Linked DNA regions of Callithrix jacchus. The protein of the gene in region 2 purifies or fractionates together with the protein of the main gene of each other region. This does not show direct contact. Links are inferred from orthologs where the notes say so. Each region holds a gene or a part of one and is shown on either strand. Other genes may lie near its edges.

Region 1 (3,107 bases), about 13 Mb from region 2:
AGGTGGAACTTGATGTGATGTCTAAGGAAAGGTACCTCATCCTCTGTACTCAGTGTGTGCGTGCGTAGTCACACCCTCCCTCCCTCCCTCAGCATCCAGTTCTGTGGTGGGGGCAGGTAGTGCTGGAGTGAGGGTCCCGCCCATATTCCTCTGAGCCAAATCCCAGCTCAGTGACAGTTCTCCCAACAGCATGCCCAGCTCTGACACCACAGGCTAGAGGAAAGGGAGTTTCAGTGGAGCTGTCCTCACTCACAGGAGAGGGGCCACCAGCCTCTGCAGAGCAGTTCCACCCAGGCAGGTCCTGGCTTCCCAGCAAGCCAGAGGGAGGCACGGTGGATGGGAAAAGCCCTGCTCGAGGATAAGGACATGGGACAGGCGAGCATGCTGGGGACGCCATGTGAGCCACCGGGCACAGCCTGACCCCAAGCAGCACAGCTCAAACCAGGACACACGTCTCCTCACTCAGCCTGAGCACACTTCTGACTTACACAAGCGGGGAGGAAGGTCTTTAAAAAAAGGCTTTATTTGAAGGCAAAACAATGAAATCCACAAGAAATTGCTAACAGCACGTATTTACGTTTTATCCTGAATCATAACGTTTTAAGGATTCACAGCTACAGGAAATTTAGAACAGAATCAAATATTGTATCACATTGGGTTGAAAACCTGGAGGATTTTGCATCTTATTGAAAAGAATTCTTCAAAAATGTTTTTGTACAAATGAATGGCATCGCACTAGGCTGCCCACAGACATGAGGTGTGGCTGATTCCCAGTAGCCATTCACCAGCTCCAGCAGGTGCAACTCCCCTCCCTGTGGGGTGTGAAATGGCATAGTGGGAGGCCCTGGCTGGGTGGGGGGGGGGCAGGCTCCACACTCTGGATGGGACTGGGCCGTTGTGTGCACGCCAACCAGTGCAGGGTTCTTCCAAGTGCGAAACTGAAGCAGGGAACGCAACCGGCATGGACTCTGAGGGCAGCACTCGACCTGAAGTGCCTTAAGCTGGTTTCCTGTTAGAATCTTCTGTTTCCCAGACAATAGCACATGGCTAACATTCCAGAAAAAAAGTATCAACTTACACAACTAAAATAACTAAGGGCCAGTATGCCTTCAAGGAATCGGGTTTGAGAATCTCACTGGGCCTCCTCTCAGGTCAATATTCTTCTAAAACTAAACCAAGGGGAATAAAAATGAAAACCCTGCTTGACTTTCCAAGTCAAAGTTTTGTGTTTGTGTTTTTCAGTCTGTGGGCAGTCATGGCACTGGGCCTCGGCATTCTCCCTACGCAGCTGAGGGGAAGGTGGGTCAGGGAAGCTGGGGAGCTGGGGCACCGGCTCTGGCCCAGGCTGACCTCTCCTGCACACACTTCTCCTGGAGCCCGAGAGGAGGCTTTGCTGACTTAGGGCAGATGTGCATCCAACCCTTCGTGGGTGAAGAAGTCTTACTCGGGGAGCGGAGGGTCTTGTGTTTCTTGTTTCACTGTAAAGGAAAACGAGCCTGGGGCCCTGGTGGCTGCCGTGAGCATGGCGCTCCCACTGGGCATGTGCTGGTCTTCCTTCTCTTCCTGTGGGGCTCTCCCCTTCTGGAGACGGTGGGAGAACTGAGCTGTCACTGTGATCTTCCACTGCCACTCCACCAGGAAGGTCCCACAGCCGGCAGTGCTGGCCACCAGCGCGGCAAGTGCAAGTTTATTCACTTGCACTCGTCCCTGGCCTTCATGCGGGCGATGAAGGAGTAGCTCTTGTTCCTGCGGTAGTTCTCGTAGGGGTCGTCCAGGGCCACGCCCACGCCTTTATACTGGTCCCACTTATCCCGGACGTCCCCGCCCTTGATAGGGTCCTGGATCCCTTGCTCCTTTGCACCAAGGCCGCCAGAGCCACTCCAGCCTGGAAAGAGAGATGCACGATCACGACCGCAACAGGATGGCGCAGATGTGGGTGCACATGGGGGGCCGAATATACAGACAGGCAGTGCAGACATGGGAGATGGGTAGAGTGAGAGAATCCCGCAGGCCAGCCCTGTCTAGAGGCTCTGGGCAGAGTCAGAACCGGCCTGACTCCATCCATCCCCACATGCCAGGTCCAGCACATGTGAAGACCCTTCCCAGCCGTCCCCATTCCCCTGCCTTACCCATTTTCACCAGCATCTGATGGCCTTTGTTCTCTTCTCCGAGCCTTGAGTCAGGGATGGGAGGTGCTGAATTAGAACCCAGACCAGCAGAGGAACTAAAATCGAGACAGGTTATTCTTTTAAGGAATAACTGAGACATTTATTGGCGTGACAGTGATGGGGCCTCAGAGCTGTGGCTCGTGTGTGCTCACCATCGCCAGGCGACACCGTACAGAGATTTTGTGCCTACACCCATTTATCCTGCATCAGCCGGATAAGGGGGCTTCAGCCGCTGGTGCCTACCCACCACACACACAGCATCAAGGGTGGGACACAGTGAACCCTGATGGTGGTTAGCAGACCCCAGCTACCGCCTCGGGCATGGCCAAGTGACTGCTGTGGGGGTGGTGAGGGGTGCCCCTGTCCCTAGGCTAACGCTGGCGGGCTCCTAACCACCAATGCTTCCATATTCACAGCAAAGCACCGCAGAGTCCCAGTGTTACCAGCATGGCAGTTAAGACAATCTTACGGCGGGGTAGGGCTCCTGGACCGTGACCGACGTCTCCTTCCCGGGGAGTACGACTTGGACCGGGACCGCGACTGGGACCTGGAACGGCTTCTGGAGGAGCGCGACCTGCTCCGGCTTCTGCAGGGAAGAGTGTCCATGTGTCAGCAGCAGCCAGGCACTGTGGGGAGGCCTCAGGAAGAGGCCTCGGGCACTACCCTCCCAAGGCGGCCTCTGTCTACCTGGATCTGGAGCGGGAGTAGGAGCGGGAGCAGGAGCGCGACCTTGACCTTGAGTATGAGCCTGATGACTTGGAGGATCTTGAGTTGGAGCGGGAGGAAGAACGCCCTCGGCTCTTGGATCTGCTCCGAGACCTTGAGGGTCCGCTGTGGGGAGAGGCCTGATGATTGGGTGCCCAGGTGGCCTGTCTCCCTGTGGGCTGGACCTGGCCCACCCTGGCTCTCAGGTTCCTGGAAGACCCCAGATGCAGGGGG
Region 2 (3,500 bases):
TGTTCCCTAATGCTCCCCAGAGACCTTACTCCAGCGCCCATTCAGGCCCAGGCCAGGCTGGTTTCCACGCTGTGGAGCCGTGGCCCGGGGGCTCATGGAGACGGGCTGCTGGAGCAGCCGGTGAGACGCGGGCGAGGTACTCACAAGTTGGTCTGGTGCTTCTTCCCCTGGGTATGTGCCAGGTAGCTCCCCTGGAGTGGAAAGGAAACACATGTGACTCGAGGCCGAGGGGACAGACACGGGGCAGGAAACACGCGTGACTCAAGGCCGAGGGGACAGACACGGGGCAGGAAACACGCGTGACTCGAGGCCGAGGGGGCAAGACATGGGGCAGGAAACACGCGTGACTCGAGGCCGAGGGGGCAAGACACGGGGCAGGAAACACGCGTGACTCGAGGCCGAGGGGACAGACACGGGGCAGGAAACACGCGTGACTCGAGGCCGAGGGGACAGACACGGGGCAGGAAACACGCGTGACTCGAGGCTGAGGGGACAGACACGGGGCAGGAAACACGCGTGACTCGAGGCCGAGGGGACAGCACGGGCCGCACCTCGTTGTTGTGAAGCGTTAGGCAGAGCTTGCATTCATAGGAGCCCAGGTGGTTTTTCATGAAATACGGGTCCTGGAAGGGAAGAACAGGTACCCCGTTAGACAGAAGATAATGGCCTGCCCTGCGGTCGGGGCCCTCAGAGGTGGGACCCCCTTTCTGTGGAGGCCTGGCTGTCCCTGATGGATCTGGCGAGGGGCCTCGTGAGCACGCGTGTGGCCACCTGGGGCTGTGGCCTAGGCTTTGAGCAGTGGGTTCCCAGGGAGCCCTGGCACCACCTTCCTGGTGGTTCTGAGGCAGAGAGGCAGAGCCAGGACAGCAGCGCCTGTCACTCTGATGCAAGGAGCCGTCCGCTGTCCACGCCACCAGGCCAGGGGTCAGCACAAGGCAGACGCAGGGATGAGAAAAGCAATGGGTGACATGGAAGGCCACGCGCATCCACGGGCCCTGAACTGGGGCAGGCAGGCACACACTTCTCGTCTCAGACCCTGGAGTTCAAACCCTAACTCCACCCCCTGCGGCCTGGCACCCCTCCACCGTGATCTCATCTGGAAGACAAGGAACGTCACAGAGCCTATGCTGCAGGCCAGGCCCGTGGGGCATGTCAGGGAACACGGCACTGGTGGGTCCTGGTGGCATCCAAACCTAAGGAAGCGCACGCTGGCAGGGTCTCGGCTGGGATCCACCCTCACAGGGGCCTGGGCGGTGTCTGGGGACATCTGTGTTTGTCCCGATGGGGGGAGCTCCTGGCACGGAGCCAGTGGGGGAAGGGATGCTGCTTGGCACCCTACAGTGCCCGGGACGGCCCCAGCCCAGTGCTGCAGCCCCGACGTCCACAGTGCTGAGGGGGACCCGGCCCACCCCACCTCTGCACAAGGTAAAACCAGAGCCTTCACTGCATCTGACTGGACCGACATCAGCTCCCCCCATTTCCACAAACTGGATGATGCCCAACAAGGCTTTGCACAGAGCCCACCATTTCCACCCGGGGCTCAGAGCCACAGAGGGTCTGCTGCCTGGCGTGGCTGGATGGGAGCTGCGGCTGCATCGCCCTGCCCAGCCGGCCGCCCACCTTGTTGATGTCGATGGTCTCCAGGGCCAGCTGCCGGAGGCGCTCCCTGCGGTCACGGTTGCTCTCGGAGGAGGAGGCCACGCCCCCGCTCCCGGTCTTGCCCCCAGGGCGATGCTGGAAGTCCATGGTGACGGCCTCCGGGCTTCAGCAGACTGGGAGACACCTGTGGAGGAGTGTGAAGACGGCTGAGAAGGCGGGGCTGCTGCTGGGACCTCCTGGGGCACCCAGCCTGTGGAGGCCAAGAGGAGACTGAGAAGGACGGCTAGAACTCGGGGCTGCTGCTGCCACCCCAGGGCCGGGCAGTCAGGTTGGGGCCAGCAAGACTGCTCCTCACCCTGCACTCCCAGCGCCAGGGTCTCACCAGCCCTGAGGGGCCACCTGCTAGTGCACTGACTCTCTTCCAGGGTGCCAGGGCCCACTGTGGGCCGGGCACAGACATGAGGAAGCTGGAGCCTGCCTCTTGACCGTGCAGGAGGGTGGAGGGGAAGCCACTCCAGCCCACGGTGCCAAGGCCTGGAGACCTGAAATGGCGACAGGGAGTCAGAGAAGGCACAACCAGGGAAGAGGCGGCCAAATTCTCACCACCGAGTCACCACCTCCAGGAAGCCATCGGGACTGCCCGAGCCCCCAGTGTTCACACCTTCCTCTCAACTCCCTCTAGGGTTGGCTACGCTTACTTGTCCCAACCTGAGTTCTATCTCTCGGAATCGGCTGTGAATTTTCTGGGCAGAGAGGGAGACGTGGATCTTCCGGTCCTCACTGGGTAACACCGGGAGATCAGCCACATCTGCCTGTGGCGCAGGAGGGCTCTCCTGAGTCCCAAACACCCGCTTCCCGCCGCAGCCCTCTGCCGCTGCTCCACACCCTCAGGCTCCAGGCAGACCCAAGCTCCAGGCAGCTTCCCCTCCTCTCCTGACGCTTTTCCCTGCCCCTTCAACACCTGCCCCGGGCCCTGGTTTAAAGGCCCTGGGTGAGCTCAGGAGACCGAGTGAATCATTCATGGCCCCCAAAGACGTCCGTCCACATGCGAACCCCTGGGCCCTGCGAACCCTCACACGGCAGGAAAGGGAAGCGCAGGTGGGCCTGAGGATCTTAAAACAACGGGTGATCCTTTCAGCATCCTCCCGAGAGGAGGGGGAGGCTGGGGGACAGAGAGGCTGTGCTGTGCTGTGAACAGGGAGGACGAGGGGAAAGGCGGGAAGAGTTCCGCTAACAGAAGGGATGGAGCCTCAGGGACTGTTTGCACTTCCAGCCCCAGATCCAGAAGCGGATGCAGCCACGTCACCTGAACTGCCGCGTCTTCGGTGATCTGCCACAGCGGCCGCAGGTGTGCAGGAGCACGCTGAGGTACAGGCCAGCTGTGCTGCTGACCTGCGGTGGGACCTGAGGTCACTCCTCAGCTGTGGGGGCCCAGGACCCTCCCACCCAGTTAGTTTATGACAACGATCCAGTGTGGTAACCGGTGGGACGGGCTGCTGACCTGCGGTGGGACCTGAGGTCACTCCTCAGCTGTGGGGGCCCAGGACCCTCCCACCCAGTTAGTTTATGACAACGATCCAGTGTGGTAACCGGTGGGACGGGCTGCTGACCTGCGGTGGGACCTGAGGTCACTCCTCAGCTGTGGGGGCCCAGGACCCTCCCACCCAGTTAGTTTATGACAACGATCCAGTGTGGTAACCGGTGGGACGGGCTGCTGACCTGCGGTGGGACCTGAGGTCACTCCTCAGCTGTGGGGGCCCAGGACCCTCCCACCCAGTTAGTTTATGACAACGATCCAGTGTGGTAACCGGTGGGACGGGCTGCTGACCTGCGGTGGGACCTGAGGTCACTCCTCAGCTGTGGGGGCCCAGGACCCTCCCACCCAGTTAGTTTATGACAAC
Region 3 (3,500 bases), on a different chromosome or scaffold from region 2:
ATCTAAGTGTCCATCAATGGATGAATGGATAAAGAAAATGTGGGCTGGGCATGGTGGCTCACGGCTGTAATCTCAGCACTTTGGGCATATCACTTGAGCCCAGGAATTTGAGACCAGCATAGCCAACATGGTGAAACCCTGCCTCTATAAAAAATACAAAAATTAGCCAGGTGTGGTGGCGCATGCCTGTAGATCCAGCTACTGGGGAGGCTGAGGTGGGAGGATCACTTGAGCCTAGGAGGCTGAGTTTGCAGAGAGCCAAGATCAAGCTTTGGCACTGCAGCCTGGACAACAGAGCAAGACCCTGTCTCAAAAAAAAAAAATAGTGATGTACACACACACACACACACACACGCACGCACACACAAAATACTATTTGGCCATAAAAAACAATGAAATGTCATTTGCAGCAGCATGGATGGCACTAGAAGTCATTATGTTACGTGAAATAAGCCGGGAACAGAGAGAGAAATACTGCATATTCTCACTCATCTGTGGGAGCTAAAAACATTTATTTCATGGAGGTAGAGAATAGAGTGATAGATGCCAGAGGCTGGGAACAGTGTGTAGGTGGGAGAGCGGGATGAAGACGGGTTGGTTAATGGGTACAAGTATAGATGGAAAGAAATAAGTTACAATGTTTGGTAGCAGAATAGGGTCACTATAGTTAGCGACAGTGTATTATGTATTCCAAAGTAGCTGGAAGAGAGATCTGAAATAAATACTCAAGGCAGTGGATACCCCAGATACCCTGACTTGATCATTACACATTCTATGCATGTAACAAACTCTCACACGTACACTATAAATATGTAAAGTATGTATTAACAGAAAATCAAGAATTGGATTTTCAACCTGTGTGTGCCACCTATTAGTTGTTTGACCTTCAGCAAGTCTTAAAATCTCTTCGAGCTGTGATTCCCTTTGTTGCTAGATGGAGAATACTAGTAACTGCTTTACCTTAGCAGGGTTGTTGTGAAGCATTCAGTGACTATTTGTTGAGTTTCTAAAATATAAAAGTTTGAATGTAGTGGTTCCCAAAGGCAGGCTGTGGCTAGGCTGGCTGCATCATTATCACAGGGGGTACATTTAAAAATAGAAATATGAGGGCTTCCCCTGTATATACGGAGTCAGTACATCTGAGGTGGTGTGAGGGGCAAGGGAAGAGCAGTGACCTTGGAATCTGAGTATTTTACAAGTTCCCATGTGATTTGGTTGGACAGCCTCGCATAGGAATTGTTTGAAGGCATCAATAATGGCGTGTGTTACTCCATTCCACAGAGCCATGCAAAATGTATTGGAGGAGAGAAATTGTTCTGAGGGAAAAAAAAGCATCTCATGATAGCAGTTCTCTCATAATGAAATCGTTTTTACCATATTTCACAATTTGTGCTGTGTCAGTTAGTTGATGATAATGAAGGATACAGTAATTCTAGCCACTGTTTGATGAATAGGATGCTTTACATATTTCATTTTACTTAGCTCTTCTCAACATCCTTGTGAAGTAGGAATTGTCTTCCAATTTTATAGGAAGATACACTTAGGGAGGGTGAGTAAGTGACTATAAGGTCACATAGCTAGCAAGTGGTGGGCCTGATTTTTAACCTAGGTTCTTTGATTTCAAAACTCAAGCTGTTTCCATTATGCTACACTGTGAGTATATTTATGTTTTTTTCTAATAGAGTAATAGAGTGTCTCTTACATACCTTGCTTGTAAGGTATGTAAGAACTAAGAAAAAACTTAGTTTTTCTTCTTTTTTTTTTCCCCACATGAAAGTTTTTAGTTTATTAAGCTTCTTGTGAAAAATCCACAATGGCCACAGGTAACATCATTGCAGCACCTTTACCCCTTTGGCTGTGATCCAGTCCCCAGCTCACTTTTTGCCAGCATCAACATTGGCCTTTGTGGTCTCCCTGACTTTCTTCATTCTGTTCCTGCGTTCCTTTCGTTGTGTTCTTGAGGTCTTTTTCTTCTCATATAGGCCATGTCTTTCAAGTCTATGTTTGGTTTCATTTTTCTTTGCATACAGGGGATCATAAATCATGCCAAAGCCAGTTGTCTTACCACCACCAAAATGAGTTCTGAATCCAAATACAAAGATGACATCCGGTGTGGTCTTGTACATTTGGCTAGTTTTTCCCAAATTTCTGTCTTAGGCACTGTTGCTTTCCCGGGGTAAAGGACAATGACCATTTATTTCCTCTGAAGCAGTCGGTTGGTCATGAACTTTCTAGTGTGGATAGTTACTGTGTCGTTCATGATGGCGGTCTCAGTTTTTCTTCTTTTAATTTTTGCAGATGAACTTGAGATGCTTTCTGAAGCCAGAGCTCGCTTGGCTAATACTCAGGGAAAGAAGGCCAAGAGGAAAGCAAGAGAGAAACAATTGGAAGAAGCAAGGTATGTGTGGATATAGGAATAAAAAGCAAAGTGTTTTTTTCACTTAACTATCAACACAGAATACTTCTGTGACCAGATAGGTGTTTTCTTCCCCCCACCCACCCCCCACCACCAGCAAGCAGGCAATCCTGCAGTGGATAGCAGGTTGTCCTCTAATTCAGTTAACTCTAATACTGTCTATCTGGAGATAGCTCCAGATCTCACAGGTTGAAGACTTAGTCCCACAAGACTGAACACCAGTTTTGATGCTTGACCACAAGCCTCAGGTTGTTTTTCTTGTGTTTCTGACTAAAGAGCTGGCTTCCACTGCCTTCTCCTTGGGTTCTATTCATTTGCTAGAGGGCCCACAGAACTCAAGAAAATACTCAATTTACTAGTTTATTATAAAGGATATGTTAAAGGATACAAATTAACAGCCACATGAAGAGATACATAGGGTGAAGTCTGGAAGGGTCCTGAATGCAGGTGCTTATGTCCCATTGAAGCTGGGATATGCCACCCTCTGAGCAAGTGGGTGTGTTCTTGTTCACCTTTTTGGAAGCCCCATGTATTTGGCTGCCCACAAGTTCTCCAGACTCTGTCCTTTTGGGTTTGTATGGAGGCTTCATTACATAGGCAAGATTGATTACATCATTGGCCGTTGCTTATCAACTGAACCCTCAGCCCTTCTCCCCTCTCCTGAGGTTGGGGGGTAGGGCTGAAAGTCCCAATCCTCTAATACTGCCTTGGTCTTTCTGGTGACAGCCATCAGTCAACTCATTAACATACAGAAAGACCCTTATCACTCGGAAGAGTCCCAGGATTTTAGAAGTTGCATTGTTGTAAACAGGGATGAAGACCAAATATATTATTTCACAATGTCACAGTGTGGTTGTTACCATTCATAGTTCAGTAATTAGTCTAGGCATCCTAAGGACCAATAAAAATGACATGATTTATTTTTTTTATTTGTTTTGTTTTTGAGATGGAATTTCGCTCTTTTTACCCAGGCTGGAGTGCAATGGCGCAATCTCGGCTCATCACAGCCTATTCTCCTGCCTCAGCCTCCTGGGTAGCTGGGATTACAGGCACGCGCCACCACTCCCACCTAATTTTTTTTTTT
Region 4 (2,612 bases), on a different chromosome or scaffold from region 2:
GCGGCAGGCCTGGGCACCACACCGTGGCTACTTGAATCTGATTAAAGGAGGCCTTGGAGTGTGCTTGGGAGGCCTCTGCTGGGCACAGGCCCGTGGCTCTCAAGGTGGAGAGCAGGGGGCTGCAGCGGGTGTCCTGGGGGCTGTGCCTGTGGCTCCTGCTGTGGAATGGGGCATCACACTGGGGGCTGGCAGCTGGCCCTGAACTCTTGGCCTCCAGCACCATGGCCTGTGCAGGGAAGGTGCCTCCTCCTCACAGACCAAGGAAGTCCCAGCACAGCCCAGGGGGAGCAGCATGGGTGCCAGCCCCCCCCCCCCCCCCCCCCCCGCCGCCAACATCTCCGGCTCCAGGGTGGGTCCTTGGGGCAGGTGGTGGGGGATGAGCGTGGCCACACCCTCACCCTCCAGTGGCTCCCGAGCGCAGGGCTGAGCGCAGCGTGCAGCAGAGGCGGCGCCGGCTGCTCGTAGGCAGAGGGCACACACAGCACGAGGGCAAGGACAGCTGCTTATCAAAATATTTTATTTTAGGAGACCCCTCAAAAAAAGACCCTCCACATTAGACAGATGCCCCAACAATACCCTTGGTCTTTTTTTGGTCTTTTCTGTATTTTTTCCTTTTTAAATCAACTAAAACAATTTGATGCTTAAAATAAAAGACAGGAAGTATTTCCTGATCAGACTTTAGTTGAGAATATATATATATTTTTGATCCAGGGGCGGGTGAGGAGGAGGAGGTGCCACCAGTGGTTCACGAGGTGTTCCGTTTCTCGGCTCAGGAGGGAGCCTGGCTGCCTGGACCTGGAGCCAGGGACCCAGAGTGGGGGCTCCTCGGGCCTGACTGGGGCCAGGGAAGAAGACGGTGGAGGAGGAAGAGACGGCGGGGCTGGCGGCTGGGGCTTGTAATTTACATGAGAACCGTGCTGGTCACTAGCGCTGTCGGTGTCTGTCCAGCGGGACTTCTGCTCTGAGGAGGGAGGCGGGGATTCAGCGGCATCATTTCCTCTGTGGCTTCTTTTCCAGCTGAGAAACTTTTTTTTCTTTTTTACTTTTTAAAAAGAATCACAGCCAAAATAAGATATTAACTGCAAAATCCGAAATGGCTGTGCTTACCCTATGTATAAAAACACGTCCAGCCCGGTGGGGCACGGCCTACGCTTTCCCAGGGATCTTGGCCCGCTTGCGCGCGATAGCGTCCTCCACGGCCTTCAGCTGCTTCAGCAGCTCCTCCCGCCGTGACAGTGTACTGGCCTTCCCTGATTTGGTGCTGGCGGTGGCGCCGGGATCCGAGGCTTTGCCAGGCACGCTGGTGACCTTGCTGGAACTCTTAGCCTGCGGTGACAGCTGGCGCTTCCTGGAAGCGGGTGGGGAAGACTGTGAGCCTCGTCTGCAGGCAGACAGGGCAGCGAGGTTGTCCTCCCTGCAGGGGAGCTTCCACTGCGCCCTCAGTGGCCACCAAGACAGGCAGGGGCTGATGCTGTCACAAGCAGGCCTGGTCCTACCCACGGGCTCCCGGGCTTTGTGGACCAGAGACTGGGAGGGGCCTGGGCCGGCCCCGCACAACCTCCTGCTCTTCTTCCCACCTCTGTGCCCAGGGCAGCCTCGACCAGGGCAGGAGTGTGTTTGTGGGGATGGAGCTGGCCTTCCCTGCCCCTCACCCTGTCTGCCTAGCAGAAGCTGGAGTGACACCTCCAGCCTGGGCTGCCCTTCTGCCTTCTGAACTAAGCGGAGCCTCTGGCCTGGCTCAGGGCTGGCCCTGATGCTGCTGGCCTCCCCGAGGGACGGGCTTGGTCTAGCCCCCGAGGTGCGCCCAGGGCACGTGCTGGGTGGGACTCACCTGTCAGATGGGGCTGCAGGGGCTTTGGAGTTCTGGCCTCTCTGCCGCTCTGGCTTCGGGGAGCCCAGTCTCCCACCTGACTTCCTGTCCCGAGAACCTGTGTGATAGGTACAGAGTGAGACCACCTTCCTGGTTTACAGGGGATGCCAGGGACCCACTTCTAAAGCCTGAGGCTGCTCAGTTCACTTCCTTCCTTTTTATAAAGAGATGAAAAGGCAAGAGCCAAGCAGAAGAGAAGAGAGATGTGGGCCCCAAGGCATCTGGAAACGAGGCTGAGCCAAACCTGGGCTCCAGGTTCCACTGAGCAGCCACTATCTCACAGGAAGGCAAAACTCCTTCCTAGCTCTGAAGAAATGGGTCAAGTGGGTCTTCATATATGGAACAAGAAGAAAGGCTGGCAGTAGAGAAATACAAGCGAAGCCGAGACCAGGAGTGTTTCACTGACGCTGTCGGGATGAGAGAGGCAGGGAGGGACCACTGGCCAGCACAGGCCCGAGGCTCGAGAGTGAAGCTAGGTCAGCAGGACCCCAGTGGCCCTGGCTCTGACCCCAGGCAAAAACAGCAAGGCTGTTCCAGGCCAGCTGCACGGGGCACAGGCCCTGGGCTTAGGGACAAAGGAGAGCAATTCCCCTTCCTGCCCCCGACAAGCCTAAAGGACGACTTGGGGAGGGGTCTGGAAGCCCCTGCCTATTCCCTGGTCTGGGAGCGTCTGTGCCGGTGGCCAGGCCCTTGGCCTGTTTGGTTTGCGCTCCACCCATCAAAGCCAGCCAGGACAATCTCT
Region 5 (4,037 bases), about 34 Mb from region 2:
CACACTCTAAAAGCATATGCAATATTTACATTCCTGATTTTGTCTTTTTTTTTTTTTTTTTTTTTTTTTTTTTGAGACAGTCTCACACTACCGTCCTGGCTGGAGCACAGTGGTGCGAACTCTGCTCACTAAGACCTCTACTTCCTTCCCGTGTTCTGGGAGGGAAAAAGTAAAAAATTGCAAAAAAAAAAAAACACCCAAAAACCTCCGCTTCCTGGGTTTCAAGTGATTCTTCTGCCTCAGCCTCCCGAGTAGCCGGGGCTACAGACATGCACCGCCACACCTGGCTAATTTTTGTATTTTTAGTAAAGACAGGGTTTCAGCATGTTAGCCAGGCTGGTCTCGAACTCCTGGCTTTAAGTGATCTACCCGCCTCTGCCTCCCAGTGTGTTGGGATTACAGGCGTGAGCCACTGCGCCTGGCTGTAGGCTATGCTTTCCTCAAGCGCAACTTCACTGGTAACCTCAAACTGAATCCCAGCAAGCTCCTTCGCTTCTCCCGACAATTTTCTTGAGGTGATAAGAGCTAACATTTATCCAGCCCTTCCTAGCTGCCAGGTACCATAAAACAGAAACACTTAGAGATTTAGCTAATTTAATTTCCCCCAACATCGATGCAAAGAAGGTATTATGACTTTGTTCAGTTTTCAGACACAGAAAATGAGGTTCAATAAAGGTGATAATTTACTTGAGAAAGCTGTAGAGTCTTGCCGATTTCAATAATCAAGTTCTTTTTTTACATAGGTTCTTGCTCTGCCCAGGCTGCAGTGCAATCATAGCTCACTGCAGCCTCAACCTCTGTAGCTCAAGCGATCCTCCCATCTCAGCCTCCTGAGCAGCTGGGACCACAGACGTGACCCACCCATGCCCAGGCTTTTTTTTTTTTTTTTTTGTAGAGACAAGATCTCGCTTTGTTGCCCAGGCTGATCTTGAACTCCTGTGTTTAAGTGATCCTTTCGGCCTGAGCCACCACGCCCTGCCAAAAACGGGAGTTAGATACCGGTGGCTATGTGACCCAGGCCAAGTCACATCACCCCAGTCTCAGCTTATTTGAGGAATGGGAATAACAAAAGCCTTCTTTCTTCCTACAGGCTTGTTTTGAGGATTAAATGTAACCAAGATTGGGAGCGGTGGCTCACGCCTGTAATCCCAGCACTTTGGGAGGCCGAGGCGGGCGGATCACAAGGTTAAGAGATCGAGACCATCTTGGTGAAATCCCATCTCTACTAAAAATACAAAAAATAGCCGGGCATGGTGGCACGTGCCTGTGGTCCCAGCTACTCAGAAGGCTGAGGTGGGAGAATCGCTTGAACCCAGGAGTCGGATGTTGCAGTGAGCCGAGATTGCGCCACTGCACTCCAGCCTGGGGATAGAGCAAGACTCCGTCTCAAAAAAAAAAAAAAAAAAAAAAAAAAAAAAAAAAAATAGCGCATAGACCAGCCCATGATACAGAGCGTTAGCCCCAGTACGGTACATTTTCACTGTGCACTGATCACTGAAAACGCCGGTGACCAAGAAGCCCCAGGCGTTGCCCTCATGGAGCTCAAAGGCCACTGGGAGGAGAGAGAGCCCCACGACAGCCCAGAGGAATCCGGGCTTGATGGAAGGAAGTCAGGGGCAGCCACGTGAAGGGACGCAGGATAGGGAAGGCTTCCTGGAGGAGGGGTCCTGTGTCCTGAAACCTTGTAAGATGAGCAACAGTGACCAGGTTAAAGGGCAGAGTGTAAGATGAACTAACGAGTGTTGAAGACAGAGGAAGTCGTTTGTGTAAAGGCCAAAGGGTTCACTGGAACAGTTTGCTTGGACGAACACTGAGAAAGAAAAGCAGGTGCAGGGGGTGGAAGGGAGACCAGCCCGTGCGGGACAGCCTGGAGTGCGGACTATCCCGAGAACTCACCATCCTTCTTGATCTTCTCATTGAGGTTGTTGATATAAATAGTGTGGTTAGGGCGGGTCTCGGGAACTGCCATGGAGTGAAGTGTCGAGGTAAGGCTTAAACGAGAAATAACGTGACTTTAGCCCTGGTTTTCTCCAAATCCTTTGTCCCAACGTTGGCTTAACGGGGGGCTCAAGGTTCTTCCTTCCGAGAGGAAGTCAGGTAAGGCGGGAGTGGGAAGGACGGAGGCACAGCGTGGGCAACAAAGCGTGCGTAGGACCCACTTCTCGAGCCCGCGTGCAGAGGGAACTCTCGAGAGATTTACTACGAGTTCCAGGATGCTCTACGCGACCCAGTGGGCGGAGCCCCCTAAATGGCGGTTCCCATTGGTCGACGCGTCCGAAGGGCAGTCCGGGAGAAAAAACCCGGATGTAAGAGCCAGTAAAGGAAGAAAGGATGGGTCTTGGGCAGCCTGGCCTCGAGAGGCAGAAGTTTCCTCAGACGGGCACAGGAAGGCCCGGACGCCAAGCGCACCGCCCGCCTTCCGCCGATGTTAGTCTGCGCCCGAGGTTACCTTCCGATGGGGCCGCAGTTTTCTCAACTGGCGCCTGCTACTTTTCTGAGACCAAACCACAAAGCTTTCTCTCCTGGCCCCGCCTCTACCTTTCTGTCAGCCAATCCCCATGCGGAAACTCAGTAGCTTGCCCAATCAGAGCAAGACTCGTTTCTAGGCTCAGTTCTTGCCAATCAAAACGATATTTGGGTTCCCGCTTAGGTAGAAAAACTCCGCCCCACTTTCGACAAGCCCACCTCCTTCCGTAGCTCCCGAGTCTACGGACCAATCAGTGAAGGTCACGATTGTTTTGCCAATCGGGACGCGTTTCGAACTGCGGTGTCTTCCGGAGGCAAGCCTGTTTGAAGCCCCGCCTCTTCCCCGCGTGAGATGCGTTTTCTGTCACGTGATCGCCAAATGGGCGGGCACTATTGAGGGTGATACCACATAATATGGGAAAGGCTGTGTGCGGGGGCCGCCATTTTGCGGGAGTGGGCGGCTCATTTTACTTCCTGACTCCTTTCCCTGTTCCACCGGTTATCGCGGCGCCCTCCAGCCTGTGATCTCTGAGTCTTCTCCAACCCACGGAGGTTTTTTATTGCTCTGACTCCAGGACCTTCTCCACAACTAGGCCACTTTCCCTGCCAGGTGTCCTTTTTGACCTCTTGCCTCTGACTCAAAAGGTCAGCTCAAAGGTTCCGAACTCGGGCCTGGGATGTGAGAGGGGACTGAGTCTAAGTTCTCCGAATCTTTAGCCCCGGGCCCCTAAGTCGCACCCTTCAGGCACCTCACTCTATGTCTGAGCCTTCATATCCCAGACTTACCCATGAGTTTCCACATTCGGCCCCAGAGAAGGAGTTAACTCCTACTAACTGTCCACCTAAGCCTCCCGAGGTAACAACCCGTCCCCGCCGTGTTAGCCGTCAGGTGCCTTAAGGCTGAGGTCAGCCTCGCAATTCCTGCTCCCACTGTTTCAAATGTTAGCCCTGGTCCTTTCACACCCACTGCTCTGCCCCCAGATTCTGGAATTCAGCTCTTAAACTTTTAAAATTTCCGTCCCTGAGGCCGTCCTCTTGGACGATCCCTCCCTCCCCACCTTCTGAACCCCTCAGCACCTCCTGGAGACCCCAAAATGACTTCACCAAGCTCTCCTCCCCTAAAATCACCAATCCCTCCTCCAAGAACCCCTGTACCCCAAGCCAGCAGCATTCCACCTCCTCCTCTACCCCCAAGTGCCCTGGACTTTTTAGCTTTTTCATCCCGTCCCTGGAGTCAGCAAACTCCTGTTCCCCCACCGCCCCCACTGCCTCCTCCACCCGCTGCCTCGGGGCCTGCTCGCCCTCATGTCTTCGGCCTGGAGAAGAGCCAGCTCCTGAAGGAGGCCTTGGAGAAGGCTGGCCCGGTCCCCAAGGGCAGAGAAGATGTGAAGAGGCTCCTGAAGCTGCACAAGGACCGGTAGGGTCTCCATACCCCACCCACCGCCCAGGCTCTGCCCCAGTTGCTTCTCCGCAGATCACTTCAGCCGCCTCCTCTTGTCTCCTCTTGGGGGGTTCTCGTGTCCTCAAGATCAAACAGCCTGACTATTTAGGACCCCCACGTAGACCCCTTG
Region 6 (2,741 bases), on a different chromosome or scaffold from region 2:
AAATGATTAATACAGTTATGGGTAATTTTAAAAATAAGGGAATGGGGAGAAAGACACTCACTAAGTTGTGCCCACGTGAACAGAAATCAAGTAGTATGAGTTGCTTGCAATTCTCTGGTTGCTGACCATGAGAATGTCAGGAAAAGCCACCTAAATGCAAACAAACAGTTATTACAAAGCATATCAACCATAAATGCACGCACGAAAGGTGGGTTAGAACCATCAGAGTTCCAACTTAAGCACACTGGAGTTTCAAAAATTAAACCAGTCATCGTTACATTCAGCATGTCACATTTGGGTACTTTTAAGTTCACACATGGTGTCCACACGAGGAATGGTTGGCCTCATTCCATACATAACTCCAGTTCCAGGGCTGCCTTTGACTCTTACTGTCCTCTGCGATGCTCAATTATATACTTTACCTTGCACTCCTTCACCCCAACTCACTTTACAGAACAGGTGCACTTTTACCATAAAACTCAATAAAATACCACAAAAGATAAAATGTTATTCTTTTATTTATGTTAAATAAAAACATGAGAAAATCCTTTTTTAAAAAGGGTCAGAATATTCCTTATGTCTCCAAACCAAGTCCATGGATGCAAAGAAATGCTGAGTTCTTGATACACTTTCATGTCATAATAACCAAAGGAGACAACATGGGCTCGAGTCCTTCAGCTGCCACTTCGGGAGAGTCACATGCAGTATTTGGGAAAGCAAGGAACAGAACACAGGCATGAGTATTTTCTGGAAATACCTCCTGCCCTGGCAATGAACCTCAGTACCAAATATTTGTTTTCTTTTTTGTGGTCCTGATAAATTTTGAAGCCACACATCCTACTGAACTTCAGTGATACAATTTCTCACAATTCCAGAATTCTATTAATTGGCAGTATTGTATACGTGGCCAATGTGGATGAATTTTATAAATTTTGGAATTAAATACAATAGAATACTATTGCAAATTGTGCCAGCAGAAACAAGACCCCAAGGAACTGCCATTTCCAAAACATAATTAGGCACATATTTACAATGCACCTGCTAGGTTTTGAATTACTTGCCATTTCTGATCTACCCTAAAGACTATGCTTGAATCTCTGAAAACAAGTGCTATATTTATGATTTCTATACCCACATACTCATAAATCCATCACAAACCCTACAGTCTGACCTAGCTTAACGGCAAATGATTCATCCAATAGGCCATGGTATATTCACAATTCTTCAGTCTTATTCAGGTGGTAAGACGTGTTTCTACGACTGGAGTCACTAAGAAGTATTTCTCTGTCAGAGAAAGTATCGTTTTCACCTTTGGCACACTGCCAAGATGATACCTTATTACAGAACTTATGAAACTACAATTTAGTAACTTGCAGGCTTTATTAAAAGAAAAAAGAAAGAAAAACAAATAACTTAATATAACCCCATGTCCTAAAACTTTCTGGATTTCTTTTTTTTTTAGTGCAAGAAATGCTGCATCATTGAAGCACTTGAGAATTACCATGAAATCTAACAAAAAATGTTATCAACTCAGGAATAGTAATAAAAAAGAGAAACAACCAGAGAGGCACACAGATTGTTTTTTTTTAAAAGGATTTTTATACTATATTAAAAAACCACAAAATAAAAAAGGGATCAATCAACATATATCTTAGAAGTCCTTCCAAGAGTCTTGGTATGCAACAGCCATGCAGGCTGTGACCTTTTCCTTCGTTTCTCAGCGCAGTTCATTTAAGGATCACTGGCGATGACTTGTACTCTAGTTCTTAAAATCAAACTTGCTCTGCCAAATCCAAGACCCTGAATTTGTCCAAATTGTAGAAACATGCTTTTACCACCCGTCCACCAAAATACCTCCCATTCAAGTCAACAACCGCTGAAAGGCAAACAAAAGACTGTTAATATAGGCATAAGACATGATAAAGGTTTAACTTTAAACAGTAACTTTACTTGTAAAGATGAAGGTTGTAAATTCAACTATTTTATTCTTTAATATTCAGCTAACTCACCTTTAATTGCTGATTCAACTCTCTCAAATTCTAAAAATATCCGTACTGCTTCATCATCGGGGGCACCAGGAATCTGGATGAAAAGGAGAGCGTGATGAGAAAAGGGACTCGAGACTGAGCTGAAAGTGGTTTTCTCTTTTAAATGATTTGTCAGAGTGAATATTCTAATTATCACCATGTACAGTCAAGCAGCTGTCAAACACCAAGGAAATAAGTATACTTTGTTCATCATCAAAAATGTACTGAATGCCTGTTTTAATGACAGGTATTAAGCAGTCTCTGACCTCATGAAGGCCCCGTGCCAGCTGATGATGTAAACAAATAATTATGAGGTCAAGAAACAGCAATAAAATAAAGAAAGAGGGAGCAGAGCTTTTACATTAAAAAGGTTGGTGCTCTAGTGGTCTTTTATATCAGGTCTCATTTTGACTAGCTTGGTCTAAGCTTTCCTGGCCCTCTGCAATGTGTCCATTTCACCCACCACAGCACTTCTGCTAATCCCCAATAGGCCCATTCATTCCCTTTTGGTAGTCCTGACCCTCACTACCTCCCAGCAGCCAATCAGAACACCCTTCCCTACAAATGCCACCTATTCATTTCAAAGCGCAGCCCACATCAGTTATTGCTCACAAGACAGTCTCTATTTTTTCGCTGATCTAATCCTTTTCTCAACTCCTGAAACTACAGCCAATACTACCTAGTCTAGTAACAGAATATCCTCTAGTTATTTTA
Region 7 (4,167 bases), on a different chromosome or scaffold from region 2:
GTCCTCCTGTCTCAGCCTCCCAAAGTGCTGGGATTACAAGTGTGAGCAATTGCACTCAGCTATTTCTTCTAGTTTTAGATCTCTATAATAAAATGATGCTTTTCTGTGATCCCTTAACATTGTCTACACTTATGTGCATGTTCATATTTGTTTTACTGTTGCCTAGTTTTCCATTTCATTCATTCTTTTATCCAATACATGTTAATTATCACTTTTCTAATTAATAAGGGTACTTGAGTAAGCAGAGCAGACAAACCCCCACCCTTAAGAAATCTGTATTATTTTTAAGTTGTTGCAAATTTGGGTTTTTATTTAAAAAAATAAAAATTCCAAGCTGATAAAACCAATCTGACAGCTACTTGCCTCACCAATATATGCATGTTATAGCCAGAATTCAGAAATAACATTTATGATCATTTATTTTGTCTGGCAATGTGCCAATCAATTTACATTTATTTTAGCTCATTTAATGCTCACAACAACTAGAAGGAGGCACTATTAGGATACCTATTTTACAGATAAAGAAAGTGAAGGTCAGAGAGAATATAGTTAAGAGAAGGATACAAGATGAGGTTCCCCTAGACCCTTAACAACCATTTCATATTCCAGGTGATGCTTTGCAGACATCTGATGAATGGATGAATGAACGAATGCATGCACTTCTTGGAATTCTCATTCAGCTTGGCATAAACACTAACTCCTTAGATTACCCTAGAAAAATCTAGACATTTTGTGGGAAGAGAAGAGTGGGAAGGGTGGTAGGGAATTATTTTTTCGAGTGAGTTGAGGCAGATGATCTTAAAGATGACTGGGTTCTACCCGAGCATGGTTGCCATATCTGAAAGATGAGAATAGGGCAGACTCGGAGTTCTGTCCGCCCTTGGTAGCCTCTGAGATTCAAGCTCATCAGCAGAGTGTTGGAGGACAGTTCCTGCAGAGTCCAGGAATCAGAGGAGACTTGGAGGCAGGAGGAACTGGCTATCCTAAAGGTGATGTTAAACCCGGGCAGCCGGAGCCCAAAGAAGGGCGAAACCAGGACTAATTGCCCCACAGCATGAGGGGCAGCGCCTGTTAAATTACATAGGATTTGGAAAGGTGTTAGGCACTCTTGTGCGGGGTGAAGCTTCGCAGGGTCGTGGTACGGGAAATTATTCATTCCCTTCCCTATTTCCTCGCAGCACGGTCCCCACAACCCTGCTATCTTTCCCCATTCCCACTTCCGAACTCATCTCCTGCCCTCCAGGCATTACGCAAGCGCAGAGAGATTCCCAGCCTTGGCCGCCAGAGAGCCGGAAGCATCGATCGACTCCGTGCTCGGCTTCTAGACTTGTCGACGCTCGATTGAGGAGCCTGGCAACGTTACTTCCGGTGCCTGGCTCCGTTTCCTGCTGTTAGATCTAACGAGGGACGGCGTACGCCTTAGGTGGGTTCCTGCGCCTTCTACCTCCTTGCTCTTTCTGTTCTCCTGACTCCTCTGCCTTTCTTTTCCCCTGTTGCAGCTGGGAGCGGACGAAGCGTAAAGCTGAGGTGGGGACGCGTTTGCCCCGGGGTTCTGTCTTAGGGGCGAGAAGGGATGGAGACTGACGCGCGTGACTGGCTGGGGCCGGGCATCGCGTCTTTGCTCCCTTGGACTTCTTGCCGGGGCTTTGGGCGAAGGTGCTTGTGTCTAGAGAGGTGGGAGGCTTGCGCGTACGAAGTAAAGGATAATTCATGTCCATCTGCTTTTGCGAGGCGTGGGCCGTTCACTGAGCTTTCAGGTGTCTTCCAGCGGCTCCCTTTTGGTAGTGGCGGGTAATTCAGAGAGGCCCTGTAGCAATCAAGGTTATGTTCAAACTTCGCGGGAGACCCTGCAGGAACCTCCCCTTTCTTCCCCTACCTTCGGTTTGACCTCTGCCTCAATCACTTCCCTTTCGTCGTCTCCTTTGCGACTCCTGCCCCTTCTCCAGATTTCGATTTAGGGGGTCGCAAGGTTTTGAGGAGCGTTTCCGTAGCCCCGCTTGTAGGCTCTTACCTTGTCAATCGTCCAGTGCTGTTCATATACAGTGGATGCTCTGTAAATATTTGTGAGATAAAGAAACTTTGGGGTACACAAGGAAATCAAGCAAGTTCACACTTTGCAAGTAAAAACAATGTGGAAAATGCAATTGTGTGGTAGATGAGAAAAATGTAGAGAAAGCAAGGGCTGAATTTCCAGGCCTAATGCTTATTAGCTGTGTGACCTTAGGCAAGTCCCTTAACTGGTAATAGCTGTTAATAATTACTCCTAAGTGCTTACCGCTGATGCAGAACGTGCTAGAACTCATTTAGTCTTCTGAGTTCTGTTGGGTAGGTTCTGTTACCGTTCTCGTTTCACTGATGACATGAGGGATTAAGGAACTTTCCTCAGGCAAACAGATAGTAAGGAGCATAAATAGGATTTCACTTCACATCTGGCTGGCACTAGAATCTGAGTTTAACAGTCATGCCATACTGCTCTCATTGAGCTCCCTTCTTTTAGGTCGGTTAGAGGTAACCTTGGAATCCAGATAGCTTGGAGATACAAATTAAGTGATAGGTATGGAAGGACTTTATAAGTGCACCCATGAAATTGGCATGAAGTTGGCAAGCTTCATTAATGTCTAATCTTATGATTTTTACTGGGTGTACATTTGCTACTTTGTCATTTTTCTTCAAATCTGTATTTTTAAATTGTTTCATCGAGCAGGCGGAAAGTCAGTATCACTTGTCATAAGCGAAAAGTAAGTGTAAAAATAAATGTGTTGAATTAAATATTGTTACAAAAATCTGGCTAGGTATTGGTGCCCCAAGTTTTGAGCATGAGACACTGTTCTTTTGTATGAAAGGAAGGGCTAGTGGGTGCTGGAGATACAATAAAGATTACAGCCAAACTGACATTTTCTGACAATTGGGAATTGAAAGAGAAGTGAAAAGTTAATAATTCTTGTGTTGTGTCCTTATGCTACAGTCCAGTATAATTTAATCTTTCTTTTTTGTAACAGATTACTTACTGTTTTTGAAGAATTTAACGCAAACATGGATATCAGACCAAATCATACAATTTATATCAACAATATGAATGACAAAATTAAAAAGGAAGGTAAGTGCTTTTTAAAATACTTGTTCACAACTAAAATGTGTTTATTTACTACTGTCTTAAAAATCGTACTGCCTGAAAACCTCTCACCTCATCATCTTAGTGCCTGAAATAATGGTTTATCCCATTTCCTGTAAGGATGGGAAGGCTTTTAAAAAACAAAAATAGATAGGAACTGACACTGTGTTCAGTCTGTTGCTACTCATAGCTATAATGGTTTCATACAGCCAATGGGAATAGTATATGTTTTTTATAAATATTAATATAACTGTATACATAAGTGAATGGTGTTAGCAACTCAATAGAGTATACTTTGAAGACTTGTCATTATTTGATTCACCAGTGACTTGTTTCTTTTCTACTTTGGACAGAATTGAAGAGATCCCTCTATGCCCTGTTTTCTCAGTTTGGTCATGTCGTGGACATTGTGGCTTTAAAGACCATGAAGATGAGGGGGCAGGCCTTTGTCATCTTTAAGGAACTGGGCTCATCCACGAATGCTTTGAGACAGTTACAAGGATTTCCATTTTATGGTAAACCAATGGTAAGCTAATCCTATTATTTTCCCTTTAATCAAGAAACTAATGATACTAATGGTAGAGTCGATTTGCAAATATGCTTGAAATTGTGGCTGTTGCTTTCTGCTTTTAATTATGTATGTCTTGGTTTTACGTATTTTTATAGAAAAACAGTAGCTGTAGAGTTTAATTTACAACAGTTCAGATGGGCAAAAACAAAATACATTGAGTTGTAGAATGTTTTTATAAATGGCAGTCTAGGCAATATTCTTATCTCAAAAAGTTACAAATTAATAATAACCTGGAAGACTTGAAACCTGTTTATAAACTTGTAAAACATTATAAAAGCCATGAGTCAAAGAGGAAATTCAGTCTGAAGTTTTAGAAAATGCTAATAGTGAAATACTATATGTCAGAAGCTATACAGTCTAGAAGAAACAATGATTGAAAGAAAAATTATAGGGTTAAACTCATAAGATTAAGGAATAACAATGGAAATGAACTTGTTATTCATGGAGAGTTTTAAACTCAGGAATGACATAATGAGATTCACAT

What was found.
Region 1: the proteins of SF3A2 (region 2) and CHERP purify together in Homo sapiens (affinity purification with mass spectrometry; 3 studies listed by BioGRID, with this or other methods). This does not show direct contact. The link is inferred for Callithrix jacchus from reciprocal best matches to the Homo sapiens genes SF3A2 and CHERP.
Region 3: the proteins of SF3A2 (region 2) and CDC5L purify together in Homo sapiens (affinity purification with mass spectrometry; 3 studies listed by BioGRID and IntAct, with this or other methods). This does not show direct contact. The link is inferred for Callithrix jacchus from reciprocal best matches to the Homo sapiens genes SF3A2 and CDC5L.
Region 4: the proteins of SF3A2 (region 2) and ZC3H18 purify together in Homo sapiens (affinity purification with mass spectrometry; 3 studies listed by BioGRID and IntAct, with this or other methods). This does not show direct contact. The link is inferred for Callithrix jacchus from reciprocal best matches to the Homo sapiens genes SF3A2 and ZC3H18.
Region 5: the proteins of SF3A2 (region 2) and SNRPA fractionate together in Homo sapiens (co-fractionation; 3 studies listed by BioGRID and IntAct, with this or other methods). This does not show direct contact. The link is inferred for Callithrix jacchus from reciprocal best matches to the Homo sapiens genes SF3A2 and SNRPA.
Region 6: the proteins of SF3A2 (region 2) and RBM17 purify together in Homo sapiens (affinity purification with mass spectrometry; 4 studies listed by BioGRID and IntAct, counting the BioPlex papers as one, with this or other methods). This does not show direct contact. The link is inferred for Callithrix jacchus from reciprocal best matches to the Homo sapiens genes SF3A2 and RBM17.
Region 7: the proteins of SF3A2 (region 2) and SNRPB2 purify together in Homo sapiens (affinity purification with mass spectrometry; 6 studies listed by BioGRID and IntAct, with this or other methods). This does not show direct contact. The link is inferred for Callithrix jacchus from reciprocal best matches to the Homo sapiens genes SF3A2 and SNRPB2.

Annotation. Positions count from the first base shown.
Region 1 is NC_133523.1:15,139,346-15,142,452, forward strand, and holds the end of CHERP (calcium homeostasis endoplasmic reticulum protein), read right to left. Parts: exon of another isoform or gene 3,000-3,107; coding exon 2,856-2,999; exon of another isoform or gene 2,755-2,855; coding exon 2,638-2,754; exon of another isoform or gene 2,585-2,637; intron 2,225-2,584; coding exon 2,130-2,224; intron 1,886-2,129; coding exon 1,692-1,885; 3' UTR 501-1,691; downstream 1-500. UniProt on the Homo sapiens protein: Involved in calcium homeostasis, growth and proliferation.
Region 2 is NC_133523.1:2,124,478-2,127,977, reverse strand, and holds part of SF3A2 (splicing factor 3A subunit 2), read right to left. Parts: intron 3,044-3,500; exon of another isoform or gene 2,906-3,043; intron 1,784-2,905; 5' UTR 1,747-1,783; coding exon 1,621-1,746; intron 624-1,620; coding exon 552-623; intron 192-551; coding exon 145-191; intron 1-144. UniProt on the Homo sapiens protein: Component of the 17S U2 SnRNP complex of the spliceosome, a large ribonucleoprotein complex that removes introns from transcribed pre-mRNAs.
Region 3 is NC_133505.1:52,853,576-52,857,075, forward strand, and holds part of CDC5L (cell division cycle 5-like protein), read left to right. Parts: intron 1-2,298; coding exon 2,299-2,398; intron 2,399-3,500.
Region 4 is NC_133521.1:46,292,117-46,294,728, reverse strand, and holds the end of ZC3H18 (zinc finger CCCH domain-containing protein 18), read right to left. Parts: intron 1,929-2,612; coding exon 1,832-1,928; intron 1,349-1,831; coding exon 1,147-1,348; 3' UTR 501-1,146; downstream 1-500.
Region 5 is NC_133523.1:36,292,417-36,296,453, reverse strand, and holds the start of SNRPA (U1 small nuclear ribonucleoprotein A), read right to left. Parts: upstream 2,801-4,037; 5' UTR 2,686-2,800; intron 2,521-2,685; exon of another isoform or gene 2,450-2,520; intron 2,190-2,449; exon of another isoform or gene 1,992-2,189; 5' UTR 1,970-1,991; coding exon 1,897-1,969; intron 1-1,896. Other genes in the region: ACTMAP (actin maturation protease), read left to right, coding at 3,561-3,883. UniProt on the Homo sapiens protein: Component of the spliceosomal U1 snRNP, which is essential for recognition of the pre-mRNA 5' splice-site and the subsequent assembly of the spliceosome. U1 snRNP is the first snRNP to interact with pre-mRNA.
Region 6 is NC_133508.1:7,679,550-7,682,290, forward strand, and holds the end of RBM17 (splicing factor 45), read right to left. Parts: intron 2,083-2,741; coding exon 2,010-2,082; intron 1,877-2,009; coding exon 1,773-1,876; 3' UTR 501-1,772; downstream 1-500. UniProt on the Homo sapiens protein: Splice factor that binds to the single-stranded 3'AG at the exon/intron border and promotes its utilization in the second catalytic step. Involved in the regulation of alternative splicing and the utilization of cryptic splice sites.
Region 7 is NC_133506.1:23,839,157-23,843,323, forward strand, and holds the start of SNRPB2 (U2 small nuclear ribonucleoprotein B''), read left to right. Parts: upstream 1-1,367; 5' UTR 1,368-1,423; exon of another isoform or gene 1,424-1,527; intron 1,528-2,999; 5' UTR 3,000-3,033; coding exon 3,034-3,097; intron 3,098-3,465; coding exon 3,466-3,638; intron 3,639-4,167. UniProt on the Homo sapiens protein: Involved in pre-mRNA splicing as component of the spliceosome. Associated with sn-RNP U2, where it contributes to the binding of stem loop IV of U2 snRNA.